Coturnix japonica: one gene and its partner. The protein of the gene in region 1 purifies or fractionates together with the protein of each later gene. This does not show direct contact. Links are inferred from orthologs where the notes say so. Each region holds a gene or a part of one and is shown on either strand. Other genes may lie near its edges.

Region 1 (4,269 bases):
GACTGCCTTTTCAAACAAGGAACCTTTCCATAGCAGAGTAACCCTAACACCAGGCTCCCATTAACCTATGGCAGGTTTGGGAGCCACCACAATTGCTTTAAAGACAGCAGCAATCACTATTGCAATCCGCATGGAGCACTGCCTAGTGCACATTACACGTGTTTTCTCTGCACATATCAGATAATACGTCACAGGACTTTGGTTGCAGTTTCATAAGCAAGTTAAGATTTTCCTGCTACTGAAGCTTTAATTTAAGAAATTTAAAAAAGAAAAAATCAGAAAGAATTCAGAACCTGAGTTTCACCAGGAATTCCTCTATCTCTATGAAAACAAAAGCTAAATACGGTCTTTAACTTGGCTAGTTAAATAAGAGAGGATTATTGCCTTATGTTCTTTCCAGTTGCTTGTTCAGGATTATTTGGGAGGCAATGAAGCAGTGCCACAGAGCAGATTCTTGCCATTTTTCAACAGATAACACCTCTCCTTTTACAGCTTTAAAATACAAAACCAGAGGCATCTGAGGATGCAAAATAGAGCCCCTGAAGAAAGGCATGCCAAAAAAATGCACATCTTATAGAGAGAGCATGACATGGAGGAACCGAGACCGACTGGTTACAGCAAACATTCCTTCCCCTTTGCTCACTATTTTGTTTCTTTGCCTCAATAGCAAGCAAAGAATTTAACCCTTTCCACTCACTGCAAGGCAAACCCGGCTGGAGACAAGTGACTCCTATTAAGCAGGAAGCCTTTGGTAAGTGGCTAATTCCAAAAGGGCACATTGGGCCAAATTCTGACCCACTTTATTGATTTTGTTGTTCTTTTAACTGATATTTCACACGCTTGATAAGTTACTGTAAGGAAATGCCACACCGGCAGCCCCGTCATTTAGGATGAAGACCACTGCAATACACGTTACACACACCGCACAGCGTCACAGTGTCACAGTGCGGTGCGGGTTGGCAGGGACCTTAGAGATCACCGAGTCCAACCCCGGGATTGGAGCCTCTGTGCTGCAGAGCGGCACTGCTACCACTTGCGCCACAGGGGGATTCGAACCCAAGGCCTCCAGCGTTGCAAAGTAGCGTCCTTCAGCACTGCGCCCTCAGTGTCACACCCCGCTCCCCCACACACCCATGAAGCCGTACCCCACACACTGTACAGCGCTACCCCCTATTTCCCCACCGCTCTCCCTCAGACCCGCCCACAGCCGCGCCCTGCACGGGCGGGAAAAGCTCATGACCCGCAGCTCCTCCCGCGCATGCGCACGAAGCCCCTCACAGCGCGCAAGCCCCGCTCCCCCCAGCCAGCATGCGCCGCGCATGCGCAGCATAGAGCTCCGTCTCTCCGGTCGGGCAGGTCCCGCCCATGTCGCGCATGCGCGGTCCGTCCAGCCTACTGCGCACGCGCCGTCCCCTCCCATGGCGGCGCCGTCCCCTCCCCGCAGTGTAGTGGGGCCGTGACGTCAGCAGCGGCGGCCATTACACGGGCAGAGCGAGGGTCGGAGCGCTCTGTTCGCTGCCGTGCGTTGGGCGCCGCTCCGCCCGCAGCTCCACGACCCGCTGCTGAGCCGCGACCACCGGGATCGCGTCGTTGGGGCCTTTGGGGGGAGCGGCGGCAGCTGGTGGTGAGGGGGAGGAGGAGGCGGAGGAGGAGGGGGCGAGCGAGCGGCTGCGTGCGGGATGGAGGAGAAGGTGTTCACCAAGGAGCTGGACCAGTGGGTGGAGCAGCTCAACGAGTGCAAGCAGCTGTCCGAGGGGCAGGTGAAGAGCCTGTGCGAGAAGGTGAGGCGCGGCGTGGGGAGCGGAGCGGCGGCACGGGGCGGGGCGGCACCTCCGGGGTTGGGCACACGGGGCTGTGAGCAGGACGGATCGGAGCGGTGCCGGGCAGTGGGTCGGCTCCACACATCGGCTCGGTGGGTCGCTCTGTTGGGCTCCGCTGGGCGCTGCTCGCTCTGCCCGGCGCTGGATGAGCCGCGGCCCCTCGGCGGGCATTGCCGCGGCCTGGCCCCGCCTCCCGCCTTTTCATCGCCTCCTAAAATGGCGCCGCTGCCGGGAGCCGCCGCCACAGAGCACGAGAGCCGCCGCCGGGCCCGGCCCTGCCGCTCCGCCATCCGTGCGGTGCTGTGCGGTGACACGGGGAGGCCGTGTAGGGCAGGGAGCGTAGGGCGCGGTGCGGGGCTCCGAGCTGCTGTGAGCACGGCGGATTATTCAGTTATTCATTTACCATACAAATATAGGATCGCGGTTATTTCTAATTGAAGCGGAATTTTAGATCGACCTGGGGAGTCGGGTTTGTTTTTTGTTTTTTTTTTTTCCAGAATAAAATGGCGCTTAGTGACATAAAGCTCGTGTCGCTGTTTATTGCTACGGTGACTGATGGGGATCCGCGCAGCACAATGATGTGCTGTGTGTGTAGTGTAGGAGCGGCTTCACATCGGCAACTGTGCTCTAGGAATTAAAGGAATAATAGCTGCAGTGGTACCCGGTTGTATTGTCCGGTTACAGTCTGTTTCTGAGCGGAATTAAATCCTCAGCCATCATGAGCCATTATTTTCCCTTCAATTACTGGAGGTTTTATTTGTGTGCACCTTTAGATTGAAGGAATTGCCTTTTTTGGGGGAGGGATCTAGAAATCAATGCGTATGGAGGTTATTGATGCCCTCGGTCCTAAAGAAGGCTGCGTGCCTATCACAGGAGGAAACAGGGGTATTTTAAGGTTGGCACCATGCCTTCAAATAGTACAGCGTGTTGGTTTAGAAGCAGATTGTTTCCAGAGGGTTGTATGTGGACTTAGAATTAACTTGCAGTGCTTTTGGCCATACAGGTTCTTGTTGTGTCCCACATTTCAGTCGCCTCATATTCCAGCAACTCAAAATCAAAGCCGTTAGATATAGTTTGTGTGTTTAACGTGGTGTTCCAAGCAAGTAGCAGGTTAGGGATTGTTTCCCTTGTGTGTCTTTAGTGCCAGCACTCTGACTTTTTCCTCGTGTCCCATTTGCCATCACTGATGTGCTGATGGAAGGGCTGAATCCTGGCTGGGTATTTCTAATGTGGTTGTATGGCAATCTGTAAAAACCCGAGGAATAAATGAAATTCTTTGCATTTAGTGGATGCTGTGGATAGGTGAGCAGTAGACATGCCAATAGAAACCGCACAAAAGGCACCATAGTCCTGTTCATAATCTGTGCGAGGATGGAGGTGTCTTCATTTTTTCCTAATGAAGAATTGAATTAGTCTATTTCTGGCTGAGCGTGTAATGTTCATCACCAGAATAGATTCATGACACTAGGAAAGAAAAAGCTGTTCTAACCTGAAACGATTCTGATAGGTTCAAGGCAAGGAATCACGAGGCAGGTGGGCTCTGTAGGAGCAGCAGACTCTGTTGGAGAGGCTGGAGGAATGATAGGTGATGAGCTGCAGGAATTGTTTGGATGAAGGAGTTGAATTAGGTTACAGAAAGCTGCCTGTTCGACTGCTGCATTGAGATGAAAGGCTGCAAGGACAGGAGAGAGGCTGATGTGAGAATACCACTGAGCAGCAGGGATGGTTTGCCACAAGTTGGAGCCAGCTCCAGACCAAAGGTGGAATGTCTTTGGGCAGCATGACACTGTGCTTGAGATAAAGCTCCCTCTCTATTACTCGGTTGAGGTCAACACTTTGTGAGGTACATCCAGGCTGTTTGTATTAAGGGTGATAACTACTGGTGGATTTACCAGCCCCTGTTAGTGGTAGGTGAGATGCTGTGTCAAGCTTTCCATTGTCCTGTCCCCCCCATGGGTTGCTGTGTTCCCAAAGCAGGGCATTAGTTGAATTCTGTGCCTGTCTGCAGAGGTTCCTCATTTATCCTGTTCCCAGGCTTCCAGCACCAGCTCTCTGCAGTACTGAATTATGATTCGTGTTTTGATTATTGTCTGCAATCACACCCAAAGGTTATGATTTTCCATAGAGAGCTTAGATGTTAAGGGTGGTGTCAAACATAGTCACTGTTTCAAATGATGGGTGCAGACCCTATCTGACAGAAGCTGTCATTCCTCACTGCTCTGAGCTGTAGCTACGATAGAAAAAAGTAATCCCTCTTGTGAAGGCTTTTCCCCATAACATGCTGTTTATTAGGTGATCTTCTGACTGGTATTTCTGGATCTTCTGAGGCTTCGTGTGTGTCTAGTAAGACGAAGCCTGAGGGCTCTGTTGTGTTTCAGTATTGATAGCAGAAGAACACAACAGCTATTTGCAGACACAGTGCAGTGCAGCACAGTAACTCAGTGTGGCC
Region 2 (3,973 bases), on another chromosome or scaffold:
CTCAATCCACTGCAGCATCACCTTATGTCTCATGAAATATCGTCTGTGTTTTCTATCTAAACCGCAGAGCTGCCCTTACAGTACAGCTGACAACAGTTCTATCACGTGTGCTGGCTGGTAGGAGTAAGAATACAGTAGTCACCAGTGTGCCACAAATGCATTTATTAAATGCAGAAATACGTGTTTCTACAAAAGGCCAAAATCTTACGTTGTATGTTCCTTTCTTGTCATTACATTGTATGATATTGTAAGATTATTGTATGTCCTAATTTGCATTATAAAATGTTTTTTTTTTCCTACTTAAAGGCATAAATATAGCAACTTTGTATAAAGGTAGCTTTCTAGATTTTTATTTCTTTTATATAAAAAGGTCTAAACAGTGAGAGTATCATTGCCAAACTGTTTATAAAACTTCATTTGCCCTGTTGGATGAATTTGTTTTTACAGACATTCCATATTTCTTTGATGAAAATTATACTATGCAGAAAGAGTGTATTTTTATGCCATTCCATGTTAATCTTAAAAAAAAAAAAACACACAAAAAACCCCAACAAACAAAAAACAAACAGNCCCCCCCCCCCCCCCCCTTGTTTGAAGCGATCCTAATTGAGAAAGCTTACCAAATGTTCACCTTTAAAGCTGTATTATGTATTATGATGTTTTCCCCTTTACCAGTGCCAACTTCATTTGGAAAAAAAAATAATAATAATTGTAGCATGGCAATAAACTATTGATTTTACATTGAAAATAACGTGTGGGTTACTTTAATATGTGCTGCTGTTAGTGTGGGTGCATACTGCATTAGTAGCCTGTTTTGCTCTTCTGTAATATCACACAGGATTGTAGGGGTTGGAAGGGACCTCTAGAGATCATTGAGTCCAACACCCCTGCCAAAGCAGGCTCCCTACACCACGTCGCACAGGTAGGTGTCCAGGAGGGTCTTGAATATCTCCAGAGAAGGAGACTGCACCACCTCCCTGGGCAGCCTGTTCCAGTGCTCCGTCACCCTCATATATAAATGTCTAATCTCAACGAGCCCTGTTTCAGTGTACAGCTTAGTAGCTGTACATGCTCTGTGCTCTGTGACAAGTCCCTTTCCTGTATGCCCCCATTGAGGTAATGGCGGGCTGCCCCATCCCGCTCCCTCCCCCCGCCTCGGTGCGGACTGCATCTCCCACAGCGCCGCGCGGCTCCATCCCCGCCGCTTCCTGTGACGGCAATTCCGCCGTGCTGTGGCGCTGTGTGGCGGTGTGTGAGCTCGTCCCGTACCGGAGCCGGCTGTGTGTCCCTCGGCATCATGGTGAGCAACGGACGGCCCCGCACCGCGCCCGCGGAGCTTCCACCCGAGGGGGGGAGAGGGAACGAAGGAGGCGCGGAGCGGCGGGGAGTGGAGTGGAGTGTGGAGGAGGAGGTTGGGCCTGGAAGGTTCCAGAGCGCGCACGAGGCGAGCCCGTTAGGCCGCGGGCGGGTCTATTCAGTATTAATGTACTTGTTATCAAAACCAAGCGTGACACGGGAATGATTTCAGTATTAAAGCCATCTTAGCTTGCTAGTGCTGGGGATTTGTGTTTAGAATACAGTGTTTTGTCAAAGCTCCGGGACTATTCTCTGCTCTCTCTGCTGTAGGCGTCCATTTCTCTCGCTCCCGTCAACATTTTCAAGGCAGGTGCAGATGAAGAGAAAGCAGAAACAGCTCGGTTGGTAAGTTTATTCTCTCAGATAAATGATGCTCTGGGTAATTACAGTCGTTCTTTTACATTTAAATTTACTTTCAATGTGTACTGCTGTAGAGCTTCAGTAGTCTCGTTTTGTCTTTTGTTGTTACAGAAGGTAGAAGTGTTTTGTTCATATCAGCAGTGTTCTTCTTTCAAGGCCATGCTGGATGGGGCCCTGGGCAACCTGATCTAGTAAAGGTGTATGTTTGGTGGCCCTGCCAGGCAGGGGGGTTGGAACTACATGATCCTTGAGGTCCCTTCCAACCCGGGTCATTCTGTGATTCTGTGTATCTCAGCTTAGGAGGTTCTTATTCCTTGGAAGTCTTTTGGCTCTGTTATGTGGTTTTATGCTTACTGCAAAAATTAAGTACGTTACTGAAATGTAGCACTTAAGAAACTTGGAACCAGATTCTTCTGGAAGGAGTTTGCCTGTAGAAGAATTTAGTTAAGATGTCCCCTTGGAAGTTAGAGCCTAGCTCTTACTTACTGTTTTAAAGTAGAAATAAAGAATTTTCTAAGGTGTATTTGTTTTTGTTACAGTCATCCTTTGTTGGTGCAATCGCTATTGGTGACCTGGTCAAGAGCACTCTGGGACCTAAAGGCATGGTAAGATAGCTTCAAGTCCTCAGTGGTCAGACCTGTTCATTTCAGGCTTTAGCCCACGCAAACCTCATGGAGGTTCGTGAGGCCAAGTGCAAGATTCTGCACCTGGGTCAAGGCAATCGCAGACATGAACACAGGCTGGGCAATGACTGGAGCCCTGTGGAGGAGGACTTGGATAGATTGTTGAATGAAAAGCTGAATATGAGCCAGCAATGCATGCTTGTAGTCCAGGAAGCCAACCATGCTCTGGGCTGTATTGAAACAGTTGTAATCAGCAGAGAGAGGGAGGGCATTGTCCCCCCTGTTCTCTCTTAAGAGGACATGCCTGCAATACTCTGGGTTGGGGTGCCTGACACAAGAAAAGCGTGGAGCTATTGGAGTGGGTCCAGTAGAGGACACAGGGATGATGAGAGGGCTGGAGCACCTCTCTTACAGAGACAGGCTGAAGGAGCTTGGCTTGTTGAACCTGGAGAAACAAAGGCTCCAGGGAGACCTCAGTGCAGCCTTCCGGTGTAGAAGCCTACAGGAAAGCTGGGAAGAGTGTGTAGTGATGGGACAAGGTGTAATATTTTTACTCTGAAAGAGGGCAGGTTTAGATTAGTTATAAGGGGGAAATACTTCACTCTGAGGGTAAAGAGGCCCTGGCACAGCTGTCCAGGGAAGCTGTGGATACCCCCATCCCTGGAGCTGTTCAAGGCCAGGTTGGATGGGGCCCTCGGCAGCCTGAGCTGGTGGACAGCGACCAGCCCACAGCAGGAGGTTGAAACTGGATGGTTTTTAAGGTCCCTTCTAACTCGCACCATTGTATGATAATTTAGTTTTAATAGTTACTGTTCTTTTTCAAACTGTTCTATTTCTTGCATCACGTAGGACAAGATTCTCCTCAGTACTGGGAGGGATAGCACGGTGACAGTGACCAATGATGGTGCAACCATCCTGAAAGCTATTGGAGTTGACAACCCAGCTGCCAAGGTCTTGGTTGGTGAGTTTCTAACAGTTTGTCATTGTCATACATGGAATTTCTTCACTTGTAACTTTCTTACGTAGTTTTAACTTCTTCATAGAGAAATATTCTACACAGTGTGAAAAATTGACATATTCTGTGATATTGCTTATCTATACTTGAGAGCATCTGTCTGGCCTTACTTTATTTTGATCATGATCTTTAGGCACACGTTGAGAGGGGGGTGGCTCTTGAATACTGATAGGCTAAAACAGGTCTGTGTTGCAAACGACGATGGGGAATTTGAAGGATGATGTTGTGTTTGATTTGCATCTCAGTTTCAGTCTGAGTTACAGTTTGACAGCCTCTTTGGCAGTGGAATTCTTTTTTCTTCCTTAAAGTCATGTGAGGTACAAATGCTGAAGATAATAGCTGCTAGGGGCGTTCAGTCTGTTTTGAATGCAAGCATTAATGCAGTGCCTTTCTTTTAGATATGTCAAAGGTTCAAGATGATGAAGTTGGTGATGGAACTACGTCTGTCACAGTGTTGGCAGCTGAGTTGCTGAGGGTGATGTATTAACATTTTTAGACGGTTTCATATAGGCTGTGTAGTCCTGGGATGCCAGTAGGAGATGTGTTGTTGATGCTTATGAAGTGGGCTCCCAAAGGATAGGAATACTTTGCCCCGTTGCCATTAAACTGGTAGGAAAAA

Evidence for each region.
Region 2: the proteins of PPP2CA (region 1) and CCT2 purify together in Homo sapiens (affinity purification with mass spectrometry; 4 studies listed by BioGRID and IntAct, with this or other methods). This does not show direct contact. The link is inferred for Coturnix japonica from reciprocal best matches to the Homo sapiens genes PPP2CA and CCT2.

Annotation. Positions count from the first base shown.
Region 1 is NC_029528.1:2,281,230-2,285,498, reverse strand, and holds the start of PPP2CA (serine/threonine-protein phosphatase 2A catalytic subunit alpha isoform), read left to right. Parts: upstream 1-1,461; 5' UTR 1,462-1,679; coding exon 1,680-1,781; intron 1,782-4,269. UniProt on the Homo sapiens protein: Catalytic subunit of protein phosphatase 2A (PP2A), a serine/threonine phosphatase involved in the regulation of a wide variety of enzymes, signal transduction pathways, and cellular events.
Region 2 is NC_029516.1:32,200,887-32,204,859, forward strand, and holds the start of CCT2 (T-complex protein 1 subunit beta), read left to right. Parts: upstream 1-1,164; 5' UTR 1,165-1,297; coding exon 1,298-1,300; intron 1,301-1,626; coding exon 1,627-1,701; intron 1,702-2,255; coding exon 2,256-2,321; intron 2,322-3,188; coding exon 3,189-3,300; intron 3,301-3,752; coding exon 3,753-3,829; intron 3,830-3,973. UniProt on the Homo sapiens protein: Component of the chaperonin-containing T-complex (TRiC), a molecular chaperone complex that assists the folding of actin, tubulin and other proteins upon ATP hydrolysis.